Saccharomyces cerevisiae S288C: one gene and its partners. The gene in region 1 interacts genetically with each later gene. Each region holds a gene or a part of one and is shown in the gene's direction. Other genes may lie near its edges. The genes, in order: VAC7, CAK1, EFT1 and MAK11.

The links.
Region 2: mutations in VAC7 (region 1) and CAK1 together harm fitness more than expected from each alone (negative genetic interaction), as found in Saccharomyces cerevisiae (one large-scale study listed by BioGRID).
Region 3: mutations in VAC7 (region 1) and EFT1 together harm fitness more than expected from each alone (negative genetic interaction), as found in Saccharomyces cerevisiae (one large-scale study listed by BioGRID).
Region 4: mutations in VAC7 (region 1) and MAK11 together harm fitness less than expected from each alone (positive genetic interaction), as found in Saccharomyces cerevisiae (one large-scale study listed by BioGRID).

What each region holds. Positions count from the first base shown.
Region 1 is NC_001146.8:523,190-530,874, forward strand, and holds VAC7 (Vac7p), read left to right. Parts: upstream 1-2,896; coding exon 2,897-6,394; downstream 6,395-7,685. Other genes in the region: tyrosine/serine/threonine protein phosphatase MSG5, read left to right, coding at 6,753-7,685. UniProt on the Saccharomyces cerevisiae protein: The PI(3,5)P2 regulatory complex regulates both the synthesis and turnover of phosphatidylinositol 3,5-bisphosphate (PtdIns(3,5)P2). Positively regulates FAB1 kinase activity.
Region 2 is NC_001138.5:76,748-82,139, reverse strand, and holds CAK1 (cyclin-dependent protein kinase-activating kinase CAK1), read left to right. Parts: upstream 1-2,978; coding exon 2,979-4,085; downstream 4,086-5,392. Other genes in the region: GTPase-activating protein GYP8, read left to right, coding at 228-1,721; putative ATP-binding cassette family ATPase CAF16, read left to right, coding at 1,927-2,796; AGX1 (alanine--glyoxylate transaminase), read right to left, coding at 4,152-5,309.
Region 3 is NC_001147.6:573,386-579,998, forward strand, and holds EFT1 (elongation factor 2), read left to right. Parts: upstream 1-1,712; coding exon 1,713-4,241; downstream 4,242-6,613. Other genes in the region: retromer subunit VPS17, read left to right, coding at 1-1,445; GTPase-activating protein BAG7, read left to right, coding at 5,179-6,408. UniProt on the Saccharomyces cerevisiae protein: Catalyzes the GTP-dependent ribosomal translocation step during translation elongation.
Region 4 is NC_001143.9:396,844-402,135, reverse strand, and holds MAK11 (Mak11p), read left to right. Parts: upstream 1-3,385; coding exon 3,386-4,792; downstream 4,793-5,292. Other genes in the region: SPT23 (Spt23p), read left to right, coding at 56-3,304; anaphase promoting complex subunit CDC16, read left to right, coding at 4,888-5,292.

The sequences.
Region 1 (7,685 bases):
TCGAGGCATACCACAAAGAAGTCAATCAACTGTTGAAGATGAAAACTTGGGACACTGACAAATATTATGACAGAAAAGAAATAGACCCTAAAAGAGTAATAAATTCAATGTTTATCTTCAACAGGAAACGTGACGGTACTCATAAAGCTAGATTTGTTGCAAGAGGTGATATTCAGCATCCTGACACTTACGACTCAGGCATGCAATCCAATACCGTACATCACTATGCATTGATGACATCCCTGTCACTTGCATTAGACAATAACTACTATATTACACAATTAGACATATCTTCGGCATATTTGTATGCAGACATCAAAGAAGAATTATACATAAGACCTCCACCACATTTAGGAATGAATGATAAGTTGATACGTTTGAAGAAATCACTTTATGGTTTGAAACAAAGTGGTGCAAACTGGTATGAAACGATCAAATCATATCTGATTGAACAATGTGATATGGAAGAAGTTCGCGGATGGTCATGCGTATTTAAGAATAGTCAAGTAACAATTTGCTTATTCGTTGATGATATGATATTGTTCAGCAAAGACTTAAATGCAAATAAGAAAATCATAACAACACTCAAGAAACAATACGATACAAAGATAATAAATCTGGGTGAAAGTGATAACGAAATTCAGTACGACATACTTGGATTAGAGATCAAATATCAAAGAAGCAAGTACATGAAATTAGGTATGGAAAAATCTTTGACAGAAAAATTACCCAAACTAAACGTTCATTTAAATCCAAAAGGAAAAAAACTTAGCGCTCCAGGTCAACCAGGTCTTTATATAGACCAGGATGAACTAGAAATAGATGAAGATGAATACAAAGAGAAGGTACATGAAATGCAAAAGTTGATTGGTCTAGCTTCATATGTTGGATATAAATTTAGATTTGACTTACTATACTACATCAACACACTTGCTCAACATATACTATTCCCCTCTAGGCAAGTTTTAGACATGACATATGAGTTAATACAATTCATGTGGGACACTAGAGATAAACAACTGATATGGCACAAAAACAAACCTACCAAGCCAGATAATAAACTAGTCGCAATAAGCGATGCTTCATATGGTAACCAACCATATTACAAGTCACAAATTGGTAACATTTTCCTACTCAACGGAAAAGTGATTGGAGGAAAGTCGACAAAGGCTTCGTTAACATGCACTTCAACTACAGAAGCAGAAATACACGCAGTCAGTGAAGCTATTCCGCTATTGAATAACCTCAGTCACCTTGTGCAAGAACTTAACAAGAAACCAATTATTAAAGGCTTACTTACTGATAGTAGATCAACGATCAGTATAATTAAGTCTACAAATGAAGAGAAATTTAGAAACAGATTTTTTGGCACAAAGGCAATGAGACTTAGAGATGAAGTATCAGGTAATAATTTATACGTATACTACATCGAGACCAAGAAGAACATTGCTGATGTGATGACAAAACCTCTTCCGATAAAAACATTTAAACTATTAACTAACAAATGGATTCATTAGATCTATTACATTATGGGTGGTATGTTGGAATAAAAATCAACTATCATCTACTAACTAGTATTTACGTTACTAGTATATTATCATATACGGTGTTAGAAGATGACGCAAATGATGAGAAATAGTCATCTAAATTAGTGGAAGCTGAAACGCAAGGATTGATAATGTAATAGGATCAATGAATATTAACATATAAAACGATGATAATAATATTTATAGAATTGTGTAGAATTACAGATTTCCTTTTATGGATTCCTAAATCCTCGAGGAGAACTTCTAGTATATTCTGTATACCTAATATTATAGCCTTTATCAACAATGGAATCCCAACAATTATCTCAACATTCACCCATTTCTCAAAACTATCACGGAATACTAATCGAAGACTAGTGACGCACGTTACGCTATAGCAACAACGTCACAAGGATAACGTTAGTAGTTTTTTGGAAGGACAATTGCAAACTATATGTAAACGAACGAAGACACACAGTCCAAAGCTGTAACAACAACCACATATATAAATGGTAGTCTTCTAGGAAACTTCACTGTAAGATTAGATACGTAGAGGTGAAAGACAAGTTGAAGTTTGGATCGGAAGTTCCATTAATATTTGGGTAAGTAAGTTCGCCGCGCGGCAGAAACGGTGAGTACTTACTCACTTTTGTTCTAACTACAACAAAAAACTGTAAAAGTGGTGTAAGGTTTACGTTCCGTTTTGGTTGCAAATCATCAGCCCTGGTTTAAGCTTTATGTCCAACATTGGTTAGCGAAGGCACCGTACTGGTCTCGATGTCGGTGAGCAGGGGCGGCGAAATTCATTCCAATCTTGGATAATATATATGTATATATCTATACACGCGGCGAGATCTTGTCCTCTAATTTCCCTTCGCTAAATCATTAAGAGGTCATTCATGAAGTTAATTCAGCACCAAAGTTGGACTGTTAGACACGAGATACACATTGCAGTCCAAATGTGCAGATTTTTCAGATAATTGTCGTCGCACAAGACTGCCCCTCCCGTCCTCAGACAGACACAAAATTAGATTTTACGTTTACATAAAGATGTACATAACTTGAAAAAACGTTAATCCCTCTTAAATTTAGACCTTGTAAGTCTTCCTGGCCACTCTTTGTGATATATTGTAGTGCAATATATTGATTCGTTCTTCTTATTTCTTTGTTCTTAGGCATTTCCGCTTTAGAAAATTCGTTGGGTGGTTTCTGCGACGGGTATCCCCTTCGATTTTGCATAATGATCTTCAATTCTACAACTAAAATCAAGTAGATACAGGAAAATATTCCATAAATTATAGTGTAAATCGCCCTGTATACACCTTATCGTTTCATCTCAGGCAAGTTAAAGCATTTGGGAAACGTGCTAGATGACAGAAGAAGATAGAAAGCTCACTGTAGAGACAGAAACAGTTGAGGCACCCGTGGCAAATAATCTTTTATTGTCGAATAACAGTAATGTAGTAGCACCTAATCCTTCTATTCCCTCTGCCTCCACATCTACCTCTCCGCTACACAGGGAAATAGTTGATGATTCTGTCGCTACTGCTAACACCACCAGCAACGTTGTACAGCATAATTTGCCCACCATAGATAACAATTTAATGGATTCCGATGCCACGTCACATAATCAAGATCATTGGCATTCAGACATAAACAGGGCAGGAACATCAATGTCAACGAGTGATATCCCAACAGATTTACATTTAGAACATATCGGCTCTGTTTCATCAACTAATAATAATAGTAACAATGCCCTAATCAACCACAACCCTCTGTCATCTCATCTTTCCAATCCGTCATCTTCATTACGAAACAAGAAGAGCTCTTTGTTGGTAGCTTCTAACCCTGCGTTTGCTTCAGATGTTGAACTCTCGAAGAAGAAACCTGCCGTCATCTCCAATAATATGCCTACAAGTAACATTGCCCTTTATCAAACAGCGAGATCGGCGAATATTCATGGTCCATCATCAACTTCCGCATCTAAAGCGTTCAGAAAGGCTTCGGCCTTCTCCAATAACACGGCACCCAGCACTAGTAATAACATCGGCTCGAATACACCTCCAGCTCCTCTTTTACCTCTACCTTCACTATCACAACAAAATAAGCCAAAAATAATAGAGAGGCCCACAATGCACGTCACTAATTCAAGAGAAATACTTTTAGGTGAAAACCTGTTAGATGATACAAAGGCGAAGAATGCTCCCGCGAATTCAACCACACACGATAATGGTCCAGTAGCAAATGATGGGCTGCGTATACCGAATCACTCGAACGCAGATGATAATGAAAATAACAACAAAATGAAGAAGAATAAAAACATTAATAGTGGGAAAAATGAACGTAATGATGACACCAGCAAAATATGCACTACATCTACTAAAACAGCGCCTTCAACCGCACCTTTGGGCAGTACAGACAATACTCAGGCTCTCACTGCTAGTGTCTCCAGCAGTAATGCTGACAATCACAATAATAACAAGAAGAAAACCAGCAGCAACAACAACGGCAATAACAGTAATAGTGCATCCAATAAAACCAATGCCGATATCAAGAATTCTAACGCCGACTTGAGCGCTTCTACCTCTAACAATAATGCAATAAATGACGACTCACATGAGAGTAATTCAGAAAAACCAACAAAGGCGGATTTTTTCGCTGCAAGGCTGGCTACAGCTGTAGGTGAAAATGAAATTAGTGATTCTGAGGAAACATTTGTTTATGAATCGGCAGCTAATTCGACTAAAAACCTAATATTTCCTGACTCCTCCAGCCAGCAGCAGCAGCAGCAACAGCAACCTCCAAAACAACAGCAACAGCAACAAAATCATGGAATAACCTCAAAGATAAGCGCCCCATTGCTAAACAATAACAAAAAATTATTAAGCCGACTGAAAAATTCAAGACATATTAGCACTGGTGCCATATTGAATAACACAATCGCGACTATAAGCACAAATCCGAACTTGAATTCTAATGTGATGCAGAACAATAACAATCTGATGTCGGGACACAATCACCTGGACGAGTTGAGCAGTATAAAACAGGAGCCACCGCATCAATTGCAGCAGCAGCAACCACCAATGGATGTACAATCGGTAGATTCGTATACCTCTGACAACCCAGACAGCAATGTTATTGCCAAGTCGCCTGATAAGAGGTCAAGCTTAGTATCCCTATCTAAAGTTTCTCCACATTTACTTTCATCCACATCAAGCAACGGTAACACAATATCGTGTCCCAATGTTGCCACAAATTCGCAGGAATTGGAACCAAACAATGATATTTCAACGAAGAAATCTCTTTCCAATTCTACTTTGAGACATTCCTCTGCTAATAGAAATTCTAATTATGGTGACAACAAAAGGCCTCTTAGAACAACAGTGTCAAAGATATTTGATTCAAACCCTAATGGAGCTCCTTTACGGAGATACTCTGGGGTACCGGATCACGTTAATCTAGAAGATTACATCGAACAGCCGCATAATTATCCAACAATGCAAAATAGTGTGAAAAAGGATGAATTTTATAACAGCAGGAACAATAAGTTTCCCCATGGTTTAAACTTTTATGGTGATAACAATGTTATTGAAGAGGAAAATAATGGTGACTCGTCTAATGTAAATCGACCGCAACACACTAACCTTCAGCATGAGTTTATTCCAGAAGATAACGAAAGTGATGAAAACGATATTCACTCCATGTTTTATTATAATCATAAGAACGATTTAGAAACAAAACCGCTAATATCCGATTATGGTGAAGATGAAGACGTAGATGATTATGATCGCCCAAATGCTACTTTCAACAGTTACTATGGCTCAGCATCCAACACGCACGAACTTCCATTACATGGAAGGATGCCTTCAAGATCAAATAATGATTACTACGATTTTATGGTTGGCAACAATACTGGCAATAACAACCAATTGAATGAATATACCCCCTTAAGAATGAAACGTGGTCAAAGACACCTATCAAGAACAAACAATAGCATAATGAATGGTAGCATCCATATGAATGGTAACGATGACGTTACCCATTCCAATATCAATAATAACGATATTGTTGGTTACTCACCGCACAACTTTTACTCAAGGAAGTCCCCATTTGTGAAAGTAAAGAATTTTCTTTATCTTGCATTTGTTATATCATCACTATTGATGACAGGATTCATTCTGGGATTTTTATTGGCCACTAATAAAGAACTACAAGATGTAGACGTGGTAGTGATGGATAATGTGATTTCAAGTTCGGACGAGTTGATCTTCGACATCACAGTAAGTGCTTTTAATCCAGGATTCTTCAGTATAAGCGTTTCCCAAGTCGATTTGGACATTTTTGCAAAAAGTTCTTACCTGAAGTGCGATTCTAATGGTGACTGTACAGTAATGGAACAGGAACGGAAAATTTTACAAATAACGACAAATCTTTCGTTAGTTGAAGAGAGTGCTAATAATGATATTAGTGGTGGGAACATAGAGACGGTATTACTAGGAACCGCTAAAAAACTAGAGACACCATTAAAGTTCCAGGGCGGCGCATTTAATAGGAACTACGATGTGTCAGTCTCGAGTGTCAAGCTTTTAAGTCCTGGGTCTCGTGAAGCCAAGCACGAAAACGACGATGATGACGATGATGATGGCGACGATGGTGACGATGAAAACAATACTAATGAAAGACAATACAAAAGCAAACCAAATGCTAGAGATGACAAAGAAGATGATACTAAAAAATGGAAGCTACTAATCAAGCATGATTACGAATTGATAGTCCGTGGAAGCATGAAGTATGAGGTGCCCTTTTTCAATACGCAAAAATCTACGGCTATTCAAAAGGATTCCATGGTCCATCCTGGTAAGAAGTGAGTGTTAAGAATGTAGCTTTTTCGTCAAAGCTGGGTATTTTTCTTTTTATAGCGCAGGAGCGGAAGGCAATTTCCAAAACAGGAATGTACTTTCCAAAAAAGGAAAATGTAGTTTGTTTTTTGATGTTTTTTTCTCTTTGACTATTTCAAATTTAGAAGTGAAAAAATACAAAAATGTTACATAGGATTCGATACAGTGTAATATATCATTATTATTACTTTTAAATAAAGCGTTTAGTAAACAAGAGTGAGGGTTATGCAACTCGTTTAGTAAACATTCTTTTTTTTTTCTTCATTTAAGTATAAGACAACAATAGTAGCGGAAGCGATAGTAATACATTTGGTAGCGATAAGTGCACATGCAATTTCACTCAGATAAGCAGCATTTGGACAGTAAAACCGACATCGATTTCAAGCCAAACTCACCGCGTTCCTTACAAAATAGGAATACCAAAAATTTATCTTTAGATATAGCAGCACTCCATCCATTAATGGAATTCTCATCGCCAAGCCAAGATGTGCCAGGTTCAGTAAAATTCCCATCGCCGACACCTTTGAATCTATTTATGAAGCCCAAACCTATTGTGTTGGAGAAATGTCCACCAAAAGTAAGTCCAAGGCCAACGCCACCATCGCTGTCGATGAGGCGAAGCGAGGCCTCTATATACACACTACCAACATCTTTGAAGAACCGAACTGTTTCTCCAAGCGTGTATACAAAATCATCCACAGTATCGTCTATCAGTAAGCTGTCATCATCATCACCGTTATCGTCATTTTCAGAAAAACCTCATCTGAATAGAGTCCATTCATTATCCGTGAAAACTAAAGACTTGAAGTTGAAGGGAATTAGAGGACGTTCTCAAACGATCTCAGGGTTAGAGACATCCACGCCAATTTCTAGTACTCGTGAAGGTACTTTAGATAGTACGGATGTCAACAGATTTTCTAACCAAAAGAATATGCAAACAACATTGATTTTCCCGGAGGAGGACTCGGATCTGAATATTGATATGGTGCATGCAGAGATTTATCAACGAACGGTTTATTTAGATGGACCATTGCTGGTACTGCCGCCTAATTTGTATCTATATTCAGAACCCAAACTAGAAGATATATTATCGTTTGATTTAGTCATTAATGTTGCCAAAGAAATACCGAACCTGGAGTTTTTAATACCGCCGGAAATGGCACATAAAATAAAATATTACCATATTGAATGGACACACACATCCAAGATCGTCAAGGACTTATCCCGATTGACACGCATTATACATACCGCTCATTCGCAA
Region 2 (5,392 bases), on another chromosome or scaffold:
GTGACAATGCATTTTGGCAGGCATTGGATAACATATCCGGACTATTCTACAGTTCGTTCTATGCTCTTATCTTGAATCTTTGGTGTATTAAAAAGCTTATTGAGGTTTCATAGCTAAATTTTTCCTTTTTTCTCTCTGGGAAGGGAAGATTATCTTGAATTGGCAAAGTAAAGAAATAAAGAGAAAATTTAGCAAATGACATAGAACAAGCCAATTAACAAAATACGATGCCATTAAGGTCATTATTTCATACTAATCAGAGTAGCCACGACAAAGACGCGTTGACAAGGGGAGGTTATAACGCATATCTGGAATCACTTTCTCGTTGTGACAGTGGAAAGGCAGAAGAACAAAAAGGAAAAGTTATATCAAAGTTATTAGAGAAAAAAGATGTCCGAGCTTTGAGGTACATAGGTTTAGGGCCTCTGGGGTTTGTAAACAACTCATTAAGAAAAGATTGTTGGTATGAATTATTGGCGTCCCAGTTGCTTATTGATGATGCAACAGAGTACATTACACCAGTGGAAAAACATAAAGATGAAGGTCAGGTGATATTGGATGCAGAAAGGTCTTTTGGTGGAATTGTCGACAAAAACTTGAAACTGCAATTGAGAAAACTACTGGTGGAGTTAATTACTCGGGTATTGAGAAAGTACCCAACGTTGAACTATTACCAAGGTTATCATGATATTGTGTCTGTTTTCATCATGTGTTTTAGTTGGAATGTCACAAAAGAGAACGGACTGGAACTAGAAAATCTCTCATTGCAAGAAGAAATTGATATGGAAAGGCTGTTTTATTGCATCGAAGCATTTACCCTATTATATCTGAGGGATTTCATGATGAACTCACTAGATTTTTCATTTGAGCAATTGAGAGTAATCTCTTCATTGATAAAGGAATCAAACATGAAATTCTATAATCTATTCAAATTTGACGAAAATGAGCCCCTTTTCGCTATTGGGTCAATATTGACAATCTTTGCACATAATTTGAAACCTATAGATAGCGGTGACAACAATCTTCATAAAATTCTTTTCCAGATATTTGACATGACAATATCGATGCAATCTATGCGTTTACCTTTGATCATATACAAGAACCTGCTATTGCAAAATGCGTCTGAAATTTCGAAGCAAATAGAAGCTAATTCTGATTTCTTCGAGAACGATTTTGACCTGCGCCATGGTGCTATACAAACAGTTTTACAGAAAAAACTGTATGATGAGGCGCTTTGGGAAGAAGTCTTGCAAATAACTAGAAAAGATGCGACTACTGCCAGCAAGAAGGCTTTGAAACGGGTGAGTCTTAATAAATATAGTGCATTACTCAATACAGCATGTGGAAAGCCAGGATGCTTCGATATGAGCACCATTATCTTCTATTTGAGCGAACAAACAAAGATGAACGAGCATTACAAGGAAGAAAAGTATCATGGTGTCGCCGCCAGATCCAAGACAAGGGCGTTGGTCCAAAGACTTGGCCATTTTTTACCCTCCAAATATAACAGGTGGAGCAAAATTTCTTTACTTATCGGGATTGTAGCTATCCTGTACCAATTACGGACTACAAGGTCGTTGAGTTTAGTACTCAATCTACGTTACATGATCTCCACAAAGTTGAAAGACTTATCACATATAAATATAAATTTGCACCACGTTAGTCACATCTGGGTGGATCCGATTAGGGACATTTTGAAACTGGGGCATCCAACTAGATAGCATACAATATACCTTATATACCCATGACATAGAAACAAACTCATATGTAAGGTATTATTATAAAGTGCTTCTTTAAAATTCGCTGCGGAAATTTCTTCGAGGATGACTCAAATAAGAAAAAACGAAAATTCTGAAAGAGAGATTTTTAGTATGGAGAAAACCAGTACTCCTGCATAAGATATCAAGATATTAGATAACTCTCAAGATGGTTTCCCAATTTGCTATTGAGGTGCGTAACCTAACGTACAAATTCAAAGAAAGCTCCGATCCGTCAGTTGTTGATATCAATCTTCAAATCCCATGGAATACAAGATCTTTAGTTGTGGGTGCCAATGGTGCTGGTAAATCCACCCTTTTGAAATTACTAAGCGGTAAGCATCTTTGCCTTGATGGAAAAATCCTGGTCAATGGTCTTGATCCATTCAGTCCATTATCTATGAATCAAGTGGACGATGATGAAAGTGTTGAAGATTCGACGAACTACCAAACGACCACTTATCTAGGTACGGAATGGTGCCATATGAGTATCATTAATAGGGATATCGGCGTCTTGGAACTATTAAAAAGTATTGGATTCGATCATTTTAGGGAAAGAGGTGAAAGATTGGTTAGAATCCTGGACATCGATGTACGTTGGAGAATGCACAGGTTAAGTGATGGACAAAAGAGAAGAGTTCAGTTAGCCATGGGGCTCTTGAAACCTTGGAGAGTTTTACTACTTGATGAGGTCACTGTGGATCTCGATGTTATTGCCAGAGCAAGACTTCTGGAGTTTTTAAAGTGGGAGACCGAAACCAGAAGATGCTCAGTGGTCTACGCTACACATATTTTTGACGGCTTGGCCAAATGGCCTAACCAAGTATACCATATGAAATCAGGTAAGATTGTGGATAATTTAGATTATCAGAAAGACGTAGAGTTCTCTGAAGTGGTCAATGCTAAAGTTAATGGACAAGTGGCCTTTGAAAATGACAACAATAAGGTTGTTATTAGTAAAGTGAATAGTTTGCATCCATTAGCACTAGAATGGTTGAAACGTGATAATCAAATTCCTGACAAAGAGATTGGTATATAACTGAGTATATATAACTGCAAAGACCCCCTGTATAGAAAATATGTATCTTAGTGGAAAATGTGATTTGACTATTTAAGTTATAGAAGTAGTTTGTGATCCTAAAAAAAGGAAAACGACAGAAGTCTCATAGAAGCAAAGAGGCCAGATGAAGAAGAGAGGCAACAAAATTCACGCCCATCTTAATGAAACTGGATAGTATAGACATTACACACTGTCAGTTGGTCAAATCTACTAGAACTGCTAGGATTTATAGGTCGGATACATATGCCATTAAATGTCTAGCACTAGATTTCGATATCCCGCCACATAACGCCAAATTCGAAGTATCGATATTAAACAAACTGGGCAACAAATGTAAGCACATCTTACCTCTTCTAGAGTCTAAGGCTACCGATAATAATGACCTATTGTTGTTGTTTCCCTTTGAAGAGATGAACCTTTATGAGTTCATGCAAATGCACTATAAAAGAGATAGAAGAAAAAAAAATCCCTATTACGATTTGCTAAATCCCAGTATCCCAATTGTTGCGGACCCCCCCGTTCAGAAATATACTAATCAATTGGACGTCAATCGGTATTCTTTGTCCTTTTTCCGGCAAATGGTTGAAGGGATTGCATTCTTACATGAGAACAAGATCATTCACCGCGACATCAAACCGCAAAATATCATGCTAACAAACAATACCAGCACCGTATCCCCAAAGTTGTACATAATTGATTTTGGCATCTCTTATGACATGGCAAATAACTCACAAACAAGTGCGGAACCCATGGATAGCAAGGTGACGGATATAAGCACAGGAATTTACAAGGCCCCAGAAGTGCTTTTTGGAGTAAAATGCTATGATGGTGGCGTGGACGTGTGGTCGTTGTTGATAATTATTTCTCAGTGGTTCCAGAGAGAAACAAGCCGTATGGGGCACGTTCCGGCCATGATTGATGACGGCAGCGACGACATGAACTCAGATGGAAGCGATTTCAGACTGATTTGCTCAATATTCGAAAAGTTGGGCATACCGTCCATTCAGAAATGGGAAGAGGTTGCGCAACACGGCTCGGTTGATGCATTTGTTGGTATGTTTGGTGCAGATGGCGATGGCAAGTATGTACTGGACCAGGAGAAAGATGTACAGATTAGCATTGTTGAGAGGAATATGCCTCGACTGGACGAGATTGCGGATGTCAAAGTCAAGCAGAAGTTCATTAATTGTATCCTGGGGATGGTTTCATTTTCACCAAACGAAAGATGGAGCTGTCAAAGAATCTTGCAAGAATTAGAAAAGCCATAATAAGAAGAATATATAGGTACATATATATATATATATATATATATGAAATGAAAAGTACGAGGGTAATCACTTTTTCCTCTGAAGAGCTAGTTTTATTAAGTCGAAGCAGTTCTTCATGTACGGTAAATTCTTGTTGCAAGCGGTCACACCCATATGTCCAATACGGATATACTTGGGTCCGATGTCCTTGTGAATACCTCCGGCAATGACTACACCGTGTGACTTTAAAAAAGCAATGACATCAGGAGGATCTGCTACGTATACGGCTGTCAACCCGTGCGCAGACATGTTAGAAGGATACCTACTGACGGATGTCAATTGCAAGCCATTAACCAAACTGTCTTTAAACCAATCACTCATTTCACGGTGCAAATCCCATCTCTTATGCAACCCCTCTTCGAGAATTTCTTTCAAGGCTACATCAAGGCTATTAATTAGTTGTACGGGTGGGGTTGCAAAATAAGCTCCTTTACCAGCCTCATAATTTTCCATTATTGGTGTCCATCTTCTCAACGAGGAAAAATACCCATGTACATGACCATTTTTGCTGTCGTTGAGTGCATAATCCATGAATCTGCTACTGCATAGCGAGATAGAAAGACCCGCTGGAGCGCCAATAGCCTTTTGCGAAGCAGTCAAGGCGAAATCCACCCCCCATTCATCAAATTCAAACTCTTCGCATCCAATCGAGCATACAGCATCGACTACGAAGAACGTTTCCGGCGAAGTCTGCTTAATCGCTTGCGAAATGGCTTTCAGATCGGACAGCACTGCCGTTGAAGTGTCAACGTGCGTAACCGTGACAGCCCCATAGCTATTTTGCGACAACTTTTCAGTAATCAGTTCTAAGGGAACTGATTCGCCTATCTTGAGGGGCCTAACAACATCTACTTGCGCACCGTAGCTACGCAGACAGTCAGCAAACCTGTCAGAAAATGTCCCAGTGGATACGACCAGCACGTTCTTGTTGGGGGCCTTCGAAAGAATAAAGTTCGAGGCAAATATGTCCCACCCCAACGTACCAGAGCCGGCAAGCACAAAAGGCTGAGACTTCGAGGCAGCAGCGGATTTGAAGACAGCTCTTGTGTTCTTTAGCACCCTTTGAAAAATAGAGACGAACTCAGGAGAGGTGTGGCCCAAAGAGGGAACGTCCAGGGCCTTCTGGACTGCTCCGCTTAGGATAATGGGGCCTGGGATCAGCAGCGTATCTACAGATTTAGTCATCGTTGGTGTATTTAGGCTATGGAAAAAGAATTATATGAGCTTTCGTCTTCAACCAGTGCGATTATATAAAGACTGCGGAACAG
Region 3 (6,613 bases), on another chromosome or scaffold:
ACGCAACACGATCAAAAACTTCAAACGAACACAATGAAAACCAACAACCATCTCAACCATCAGAACGTGTTATACTTCCTGAAAGAAGTGATGAGAAAAAAAAATACACTCTACTTGCAAAAGTAACAGGATTGGAACGATTTGGATCTGCAACCGGTAAGAAAGAGAATCCGACTATTATATTTGATTGCTCCACAAATTTGCCAACATTTCGCAAACAACAATACAAGAATGTCAAAAAATCATACGAAGAATTCCACCAATTGTTCAAATATCTGAATGTTGCCATTCAGGAATCTTTTGTTCCTACTCTTCCCTCTGCGTATACTACATTCGGAATTAATAGCGAAGAAGATAGGATGAAAGTAACGCGAAATTTCCAACTTTGGTTTAACAGGCTATCGCAAGACCCCTTAATTATTCGGAATGAAGAAGTGGCCTTTTTCATTGAAAGTGACTTTAATACGTACACACCCATCAACAAGTCCAAATCACTCGCATCTGGGTTGAAAAGAAAAACATTGAAACAATTAGCACCTCCATATGATGAAATCACAGAATTAGCAGAATTCCGGCCATTAGTCAAGTCTATATATGTTGTTTCTCAGAGCTTGCAAGAAAAACTGCTAAGAGTTTCCAGAAATCGCAAGATGATGGTTCAAGAAGAAAATGCCTTCGGCCAGGATTTCGTTAATCTAGATGAGCACAATAAACTTTACAGAAGATACGGTAAAATATTGACTGCTGTGGGTGATATTGATAGCATTATAGCAACCATGGACATGGCGACATTGTACGATGGTTTAGAGTGGATTGTCAGAGATGCTTATGCCGTGAAGGAAGCATTGACCAACAGGCATTTTATCATGCGAAATCTAGTACAGGCACAGCAGAATTCAAAGGCGAAACAGGAACAAGCACGCAGGTTCCGGTCAAGAAGAGATATTAACCCTATGAAAATCGATGAAGCACTACGTCAGTTGAAAGCTGCAGCTAAAAACGAACAAGTTTTGACCCTTAAGCTTCAACGAATCACGTCCAACATGATTATCGAGAGAAAACAGTGGATTAGCTGGTATGAAGAATGGATAAGAAGCTCGATCAAAGAATTTACACTAAGAAAGATAGAGTATGAAAGAAAGAAGCTGACGTTACTAGAACGAGTACGTTCTGATATCAGAAAAGCTGATGAAAACGGAGGTTTGTCACGTCTAGGACGCCATGCTGTCTCAAACAACAACTCCGATACTTCTCAAACCCTTAAAGGGGACAGTTGGACGGGAGAGAGCAACCGCAAAAGTCAAATCCCCATCAACAAGATCGCTCATACCGAATTTGATGATGAACTATTCACTGAAGACGATGGGTACAACTCTCAGGACTCAGACACTACATCACTGAATGCGCGCCATGCTGCTTCACTTTTGGGCATGTCCACTAAATAATACGTATATAAAGTAGAAAATTCATACCTTTGAACAAGGTGATCTTTTTCCTTTAGTTGATATTAATCCCGGGTAAACTTCCGTGTTGCACTTTTAAAATTTTTTTTCAAATCTCACCTAGAAAATTTTTTTTTGCCATGAGCCTTCCTTTAATTAATCTCAATTGCATACTACTGTTGTATTAAACGCTTCACTGGTTTTTTTACTTAACCCCATTTGCCAGAAAGCCAGACCTACGCACCCAAGAATTTTTAATAACAGATAAAAATGGTTGCTTTCACTGTTGACCAAATGCGTTCTTTAATGGACAAAGTTACCAATGTGCGTAACATGTCCGTTATTGCTCACGTCGATCATGGTAAGTCCACTTTGACCGATTCCTTGGTCCAAAGAGCCGGTATTATTTCCGCTGCTAAGGCTGGTGAAGCTCGTTTCACCGATACCAGAAAGGATGAACAAGAAAGAGGTATCACTATCAAGTCTACCGCTATTTCTCTATACTCTGAAATGTCTGACGAAGATGTCAAGGAAATCAAGCAAAAGACCGACGGTAACTCCTTCTTGATCAACTTGATCGACTCTCCAGGTCACGTTGACTTCTCCTCTGAAGTTACTGCCGCTTTACGTGTCACTGACGGTGCTTTGGTTGTCGTCGACACCATTGAAGGTGTCTGTGTCCAAACCGAAACTGTTTTGAGACAAGCTTTGGGTGAAAGAATCAAGCCTGTTGTTGTTATCAACAAGGTCGACAGAGCTTTGTTGGAATTGCAAGTTTCTAAGGAAGATTTATACCAAACCTTTGCCAGAACTGTTGAATCCGTTAACGTCATCGTTTCCACCTACGCCGATGAAGTTTTGGGTGATGTCCAAGTTTACCCAGCCAGAGGTACCGTTGCCTTCGGTTCCGGTTTGCACGGTTGGGCTTTCACTATCCGTCAATTCGCCACCAGATATGCTAAGAAATTCGGTGTCGACAAGGCCAAGATGATGGACAGATTATGGGGTGACTCTTTCTTCAACCCAAAGACCAAGAAGTGGACCAACAAGGACACTGATGCTGAAGGTAAGCCATTGGAAAGAGCTTTCAACATGTTCATCTTGGACCCAATCTTCAGATTATTCACTGCTATCATGAACTTCAAGAAAGACGAAATTCCAGTTTTGCTAGAAAAGTTGGAAATTGTCTTGAAGGGTGACGAAAAGGACTTGGAAGGTAAGGCCTTGTTGAAGGTTGTTATGAGAAAGTTCTTGCCAGCTGCCGATGCCTTATTGGAAATGATTGTCTTGCACTTGCCATCTCCAGTCACTGCTCAAGCCTACAGAGCTGAACAATTATACGAAGGTCCAGCTGACGATGCCAACTGTATTGCTATCAAGAACTGTGATCCAAAGGCTGATTTGATGTTGTACGTCTCCAAGATGGTGCCAACCTCTGATAAGGGTAGATTCTACGCCTTCGGTAGAGTTTTTGCCGGTACTGTTAAGTCCGGTCAAAAGGTCAGAATCCAAGGTCCAAACTACGTTCCAGGTAAGAAGGACGATTTGTTCATCAAGGCCATTCAAAGAGTTGTTTTGATGATGGGTAGATTTGTCGAACCAATCGATGACTGTCCAGCCGGTAACATTATCGGTTTAGTCGGTATCGATCAATTCTTGTTGAAGACTGGTACTTTGACCACCAGTGAAACTGCTCACAACATGAAGGTCATGAAATTCTCTGTCTCTCCAGTTGTGCAAGTCGCTGTCGAAGTCAAGAACGCTAACGACTTACCAAAATTGGTCGAAGGTTTGAAGAGATTGTCCAAGTCTGATCCATGTGTCTTGACCTATATGTCTGAATCCGGTGAACATATCGTTGCTGGTACCGGTGAATTGCATTTGGAAATTTGTTTGCAAGATTTGGAACACGACCACGCTGGTGTTCCATTGAAGATCTCCCCACCAGTTGTCGCTTACAGAGAAACTGTTGAAAGTGAATCTTCTCAAACTGCTTTGTCCAAGTCTCCAAACAAGCATAACAGAATCTACTTGAAGGCTGAACCAATTGACGAAGAAGTCTCTTTGGCTATTGAAAACGGTATCATCAACCCAAGAGATGATTTCAAGGCCAGAGCTAGAATCATGGCTGACGACTACGGTTGGGATGTCACCGATGCCAGAAAGATCTGGTGTTTCGGTCCAGACGGTAACGGTCCAAACTTGGTTATTGACCAAACTAAGGCTGTCCAATACTTGCACGAAATCAAGGATTCCGTTGTTGCTGCTTTCCAATGGGCTACCAAGGAAGGTCCAATTTTCGGTGAAGAAATGAGATCTGTCAGAGTTAACATTTTGGATGTTACTTTACATGCCGATGCTATCCACAGAGGTGGTGGTCAAATCATCCCAACCATGAGAAGAGCTACTTACGCCGGTTTCTTGTTGGCTGATCCAAAGATCCAAGAACCAGTTTTCTTGGTCGAAATTCAATGTCCAGAACAAGCCGTCGGTGGTATCTACTCCGTCTTAAACAAGAAGAGAGGTCAAGTCGTTTCTGAAGAACAAAGACCAGGTACTCCATTGTTTACCGTCAAGGCCTACTTGCCAGTTAACGAATCTTTCGGTTTCACTGGTGAATTGAGACAAGCTACCGGTGGTCAAGCTTTCCCACAAATGGTTTTCGACCATTGGTCCACTTTAGGTTCTGACCCATTGGACCCAACCTCTAAGGCTGGTGAAATTGTTCTTGCTGCTCGTAAGAGACACGGTATGAAGGAAGAAGTTCCAGGCTGGCAAGAATATTACGACAAATTGTAAGAAGTCTAAATGAGAAAAGGTGGTTCTGTAAGAGCAAACCTTACCGCCTTATGATCTTTTTCATTTATTCTCTGCTTTAAAATTTTGTCGTAATAAAAATAGTATGGTAATAGACTTATATATTATTTTCTTACACATTTTTGTCATATAGTTATATTCCGAATGTTTACAATCGAACCCATCATAAAAATGGACCTTTTCGTATTACCGCCCCCTTTGTAGAGGGGGAGGAACGGCAACTTCTTGACTATTACGACGTATCACCACCCCGTTAGATATACTATGGAAAAAACTATTAAAAACCATTATAATTCATTAATGACATCGGTCCTGAGGTAGTATTACGTATAACTTACCTGGCTCTTGGTCATAGCTTTTTATCCGTTTACGAAAAAAGGAGAAGAAGATTGGGCTTCCGCGGCTATTGTTTGGTTTATACCCCGCCGTATGTTGGTGCTTCTATAATTAGAGCGAAATAGGAAATACAAAAAATCCTTGGAGGGGAGGACCAGCCTCATCGGGCTAAAACTCCCTCAAAACCGGAGGGGCAACCAAAGTATATATCTCATTATGGCCGATACTTCTAGAGGCGCACTAACAGAAGCACCTCAGCCCCTGCAGGTGAAAGAAAGAGGTAATTAATTTTCCGGTTACTTACTTTCTCTCGCTATTGGGGAAAGCGTTGGTTCGAGGCGTTGAGGTCGAAGACAATCATTGTTTTCTTCTTATTTAAGTACATCTTTAGAAGAAAATTACACAACTGGAATGAGTAAATCAATACTTGCTTTGTGTTCCCATTGTTAGATACTCTTGTTTTAGCATGTGATAGCAGTATATAATATAACCTGCAAAATAATCGAAACGCGTACACAGGAAAGAGTACATAAATAACCATAGTATATTTCTGGACATATCTTATTACACAACATAAAATAGAATGTTTAACATGAATCTACTTTCTACACCTTCTTCTGAAGAGGGTTCTCCACAGAATAGGTCATCTTCAATGTCTTCTGTTGAGGGCAAGAAGGATAGGGACACCTTTACTAATTTGCAAAACGAATTTGATGGTAAAGTATTTGGCGTCTCACTCGAGGAATCACTGAAAGTTGCTCAAGAGGAAGTAATTATCCAAAAAAGTACAAATGAAATTGGTTCCATACCGGTGGTAATAGCAAAAAGTGGGAAATACCTAAAAGAGAATGCATTAGACACAACAGGAATTTTCCGTATTGCGGGAAGCAATAAACGTGTTAGAGAGCTACAAGCTGTTTTCTCTAAACCGCCCGATTATGGTCGTAAATTTGAAGGATGGTGTGATTTCAATGTTCATGACATTGCAACTTTATTAAAAAGATATTTGAACTCATTAAGTGAGCCTTTGGTTCCCCTAGCATTATACGACATTTTTAGAAATCCAATATTAGAAAACCCAAAAATAAATGAGCACAAAGAACAAATCATTAAGGACTACGAAGATATTTATATGCTCTTACCACAACAAAATCGCCATTTAATACTTTATTTAGCCGCGCTCTTGAATTTATTTGCAAGAAATGAAAAGAAGAATTTAATGTCAGCAAGCAATTTAGCGGCCATCGTACAACCCTCACTTTTGTCTCATCCCAAGGATGAAATGTGCCCGAAAGAGTATGAGGCTTCCAGAACTGTCATCGAATTCCTCATACTACACGCTTCAGATATAATACCGAATACGGAAAAAGCGAATAAGGACACCATGCCGCATGCAGGAACAGTAGCAAAGTTTAACAACATTACCGTTCCTGAAATGGCTATTGACTCCGATGAAGAAGATTTTGTGCACCCTTCAATAGATGACCATATGCTTCCAAGGTCACGTGCACTTTCTGACTCCAACAATTTTACCATACATCATCATCATCATCATCATCATGCACTGTTTCCTAGCCCAATAGATTTTGATAACAATGGGCTTTCTGTACCGAGATCCTTTAAAGGTAGAACATTGAGTGCAGAGTCCCTTTCTCCCAGACTTAGTAAATTACTTGGGAACGTTGGAAACAGCAGCAATACTGGCATCAAAGACCCTACAGAAAGAGTTCCTAGAGGTGAACATAAAACCAAACACAAACAACGACAGTCATGGTTGAGAAGACTCACTAGCCCTTCTAGAACGCAGCCTTAGCTTCCTAAGCACTGTGATCTGCTAGTCGATTCCGAGGTTCGGCGAAGAAATTGTCGTTGCCCCGCCAGGGGCCTTTTGCGATACTCGGCGCTTCTTTCAGCAATCTCGGTCCGCATCTCGGCAAGGGGGGGCATGACACGGGCCGCTCTGGTTGGTCAGTTCCTATTTTCTGTAACTTCCATTGTTTGGTTAAAGAATATATAAG
Region 4 (5,292 bases), on another chromosome or scaffold:
TTATACTCTAGATATCCTCTAAACGACTAATCACAACAGTAGTACACCACTGAAAATGATGAGTGGCACAGGAAACGTTTCCTCGATGCTCCACAGCTATAGCGCCAACATACAGCACAACGATGGCTCTCCGGACTTGGATTTACTAGAATCAGAATTACTGGATATTGCTCTGCTCAACTCTGGGTCCTCTCTGCAAGACCCTGGTTTATTGAGTCTGAACCAAGAGAAAATGATAACAGCAGGTACTACTACACCAGGTAAGGAAGATGAAGGGGAGCTCAGGGATGACATCGCATCTTTGCAAGGATTGCTTGATCGACACGTTCAATTTGGCAGAAAGCTACCTCTGAGGACGCCATACGCGAATCCACTGGATTTTATCAACATTAACCCGCAGTCCCTTCCATTGTCTCTAGAAATTATTGGGTTGCCGAAGGTTTCTAGGGTGGAAACTCAGATGAAGCTGAGTTTTCGGATTAGAAACGCACATGCAAGAAAAAACTTCTTTATTCATCTGCCCTCTGATTGTATAGCGAAGGACAAGTTTTTCACCAGCTCGGACGATCCCACCAACTTGACAATACCCAATAGGGACATCAACGAAAGGACTCTTTTCTTGGACGCCTTTCTTTTGTGTGCATCTAACAACAATAGCAACAACTTCAAGCAGACCTATGTTTGTAATAGATGTATCAACAGGGAAAAAAGAAGAGCGTCGAGAAGAAAGTCTGGGTTGAACGACAACTCCATCTGGCAAAATAACGAAAACAAAAGAGCAATCATATTCAATAGTAAACAACTTTTCATCATTAGTAATAACGGTTTGAGTGGTAACTCTAACTGTATCAATTTCGACTTACCGACGAGAATCGTCTGTTACTGCAGACACCACAAGGCAACTAACGGGTTTGTAGTTTTGTTCCTTCTAAGGGACCATAACGGCGATATCTTGGCGAAAACTATAACAGATCCCATAATGATCATGGACAAGAAAAATGCCAGCAATACCACAACTCCAACCAGCACCAGCAATGCCCAGGTTTCGCCAATGACAAATGACACTAGATCCTTTTCATCGCCGCAAAGTGACTTAAACTTCCCATCCGAATTCCCCCTGCCTTCTAACAGTAAAAATTTTGTCATTTCTACGAACTGTATGCTTGATAGCAATTGTAATAACAACAACAATGATAATGATAACAAAAACAACATTAAGACTAATACCGCAATGATGAACAACAACAGACACTTTCCATCACCAAATTCCTCCAGTGAGGACAGCAACCATTCTTTTTCAGATATTCATTTTTCTAATAACAACGACAACAATTTACATCGTTCACTAGACTCTTGGTCGTCCACAGGTTTTAATAGTTCATCTAATCCCGCTCTTACTACATTAACTAGTGATTTCAGTGCGGCCTCTGCGAGACACACTGGCAAGAGGCAGCGTTCGGTAAACGAGCCTTTTATGTCTACGCCTAATACGTTTTCCCGTCTTCCCCAGAAATTCATCGATTCTTCCAAAGATATATCGAACCATAATAGTGTCCCCGTGGCGCTAAATAACAAGCCTTCTATTCAGCGTGTCATCCCCGCACAAGGTTCCATCAACGGAGGTATAGAAGTGACTCTACTTGGCTCAAAGTTTAAGCAGGGCTTAATCATCAAGTTTGGCGAAAATATAGCATTGTCCAGCCAATGCTGGAATGAATCTACGATGGTGACTTATTTACCGCCTTCATCTAAACCTGGACCGGTTTTGGTAACCATAGTCGACCCAAGTGAAACGTCTATGAGAAATAATAGCAATAGTAGTGTTTCCACCAGCAATAGTACCAATGACATTCTGCACTTAAACAAGTATACCGGTGAGAAAGCAATCTTTACTTATGTTGATGATACTGATAGGCAACTAATTGAATTGGCTCTGCAAATTGTGGGGCTGAAAATGAACGGTAAACTGGAAGATGCAAGAAATATTGCTAAAAGGATTGTTGGCAGTGATTCATCTCCATCTAATAATAACGCAGGATTACACTCACAGAATAGCTCTTTAAATTCGTACACGAATATGATGCGAAATATAAACGATGAACAATTGATCACTGAAGTTATTAAGTCATTTAAGAGAAATAATAATCTCTCTACCGTCAATCTTTCCATGTGTGACGTTAGGGGTAGAACTCTATTACATCTGGCAGCATTCAATAACTGGTATAGTCTTGTCTCATTACTAATCAAATATGGGTCGCATTTGAACGACCAAGATTTATTTGGTTTTACTCCGCTACATATGGCGTGTATTAATGGTGACTTGAGAATTATAAGACTATTGTTAGAATGCAACGTTAATATTATGAAGAAAACCAGAAACGGCTTTATCGCTAAACAGTTCTTCCTGATGAATTATACTGTCAACAAGACCAGATATTCTAATTATGAAACCAGTCTGTTTGACGACATTCTGACTAGATTAACGAAGAATACAACAGGATCCAGTGATACTCAACCGTTTGAGAGAAATGTATCCCAGTCAAGTTTCAACTCAAGTTTATTTGATGATGACGATGCTGATCATGACTATGTCCAAGAAAGAAAATATTTATTGGCGGATTCCGCTGCCCTTGCCCCCGAACAATCCAACTGTAATGACAATACGTCATTCTCAATCCTAGATTCGGATTCAGGTTATGACATAAGTGATTGTGAATCATCTTCAGATGAGATTGCTTTGGAGTTCTTTAACACCCACAAAATCAAGGACTTCTCTTCAAAGCCAAATGAAATACCAAAAACTACTAAGACTAGCATAGAGCCTGACGGATCTTTATGGAACAGAATGCTAACTCGTTTAAATGACGAGCTCCCAAAGTATGAAGACTTGTTCCCAAAAAAACCCAAAAACTGGGAACTTGGTAGCAAATCTGTGGAGATTGGGCCAGATAATTCTGCCCAAATGACCGTGGATGATTCTCAAACTTCTTCTGAAGACGATGAATTAGAAGCTTTACAGGTCGGGTTCAACACAATCTTTTCCAAGAAGCAAAACTTTCAGAATGATAAGATGCTCCTATTCTTTTGGATCCCCTTAACTTTAGTACTCTTATTATGTTTCACATTATCGAATTTGGGGAAAGATGATGATATGTTTCATAATTTATCCAAAATTGTTCAGGAATATTTAAGAATTGGTTTAGCCAAGGTACTACTAGGCAACGAAAGGATGAAAACCTCTTTTAAAATGCAGTTATCGAAGTTTCAAAACAATAACATTCTAAACGACATGCGAGTCAATTAAAGACATTTTTCTAGCTACATAATCCTTACACTATATAGATTCATTTTTTATTATTTTGCATTTTTGAATTTTATCTTCTTTATGTTACTGAATACTACTTATACTGTCTTCATTTTTTTTTTGCTTAGAATTATAAAGTTCAAGATCAAGGCCGAAAATTTTTTAGAACATGAAAAATTGAAAACTCATGGTACCTCATCTCGAAAAGATCCTAAGGGCCAAGTCAAGAATTCGTGTAGAAAAATGAGTGCTATAGGCGACAAGAACCAATTTCGTATCATTGTGGGCTCATACGAGCACAACATTTTGTGTTTATCCTTAGATATCCCAAATCAAAAGGAAAATGATGCAGCAAAGACACCACATTTTATGCCAATATTTCATTTTCAAGCCCATTCGTTGAGTATTAAATGTTTGGCTGTTTCAAGAAGATACCTAGTTTCTGGATCCAATGACGAGCACATCAGAATTTATGATTTGCAAAAGAGGAAGGAACTGGGTACTTTGTTAAGTCATCAGGGCTCTATTACTGCTCTACAATTCTCACATCCAGCTTCTTCCAGTGAGGATGCTGCTGTTTCAAAGGGGAGCAAGAATAGCAAATGGTTATTATCAGCATCAGAAGACCACAAAATTATGGTTTGGAGAGTAAAGGACTGGGAAACAGTGGGGACTTTAAAGGGACACACGGCAAGGGTTAATGATGTGGATATTCACCCCACCAATAGAATTGCCATCAGTGTTAGTGATGACCATTCTATACGTCTTTGGAATTTGATGACTCTAAGAAATGCTGCTGTACTAAAACTAAGAAAATATAATACAAACGGGACTTGTGTTAGATGGTTAGGCGCCAAAGGTGATTATTTTGCCGTGGGTTTAAGGGATAGGGTGCTTATTTATGAAACTGGATCGGCTAAAGTTTTTAAAGAAATAGTCTTTCAAAGGAAAACTCTTATGCATATTGAAACACATATTTTACCATTCGATAATAAGGAATACCTTTCTGTTGGTATCAGCGATGGTAATGTTCATTTCTATCCTTGTGAGGAGTTATTCGAAAAAGTTGAAGAAAATGAAAAGCAGGAAGATGATGACGACAAGGAGGATATCAGCCCCGCTTTTTCTTTATTGGGTCACACAAACCGTATTAAAGATTTCAAGTTTTATACGAATGAATTTGGTACCTACCTAGTCACCATTGGTTCTGATGGTAAAATTGTCGTATGGGATATGTCTACAAAAGAACAAGTAGCAGTCTACGACTGTGGCGAAAGGCTAAATTGCTTAACGCTATGCGATGAAAGCATTGAGAAATACAACACAATGAAGAAGAGGGATGCTGAAACAGCTGATATAGGTGACCAAAGTGAGGTGGAAAGTGATACCGAAGAATTAAAGAAGATAATGTTTGGTGAGAAGAAGAAACTCAATAAAAAGAAGCGGAAGCAATTGAAGAAGAGTAAAGTATCAGTAGAACTTGAATAAACGCCTTATACATGCGTGCAGCTCAGAATTGTTGCGTACTAAAGTTAGTTTATATGTATAATATAAAATAATTTATCTTAATCGTTAAAGATGATATGAAGTTTTGTCTTTATTGCTGTCATTGTTATATCGTTATTTGTGGAAAGGCTACACATTATTACAAGTCATCAAAAGCCACATCAAACTTGAAATCGTCAAACAGGGTACTTATGAGAAACCCCATGTCGCCTTCGGAGCAACATTCACAACATAATTCTACATTGGCCGCCTCGCCATTTGTTTCTAACGTATCTGCAGCAAGAACACAACAGAGTTTACCAACCGATGCTCAGAATGATCGTTTGCAGCAACCCTGGAACAGAACCAATACGGCTACGAGTCCCTACCAGTCGTTAGCAAATAGCCCTTTAATACAGAAGTTGCAAGCGAATATTATGACTCCGCACCAGCCATCTGCTAATTCTAATTCTAATTCCAATTCCATTACGGGCAATGTTGTG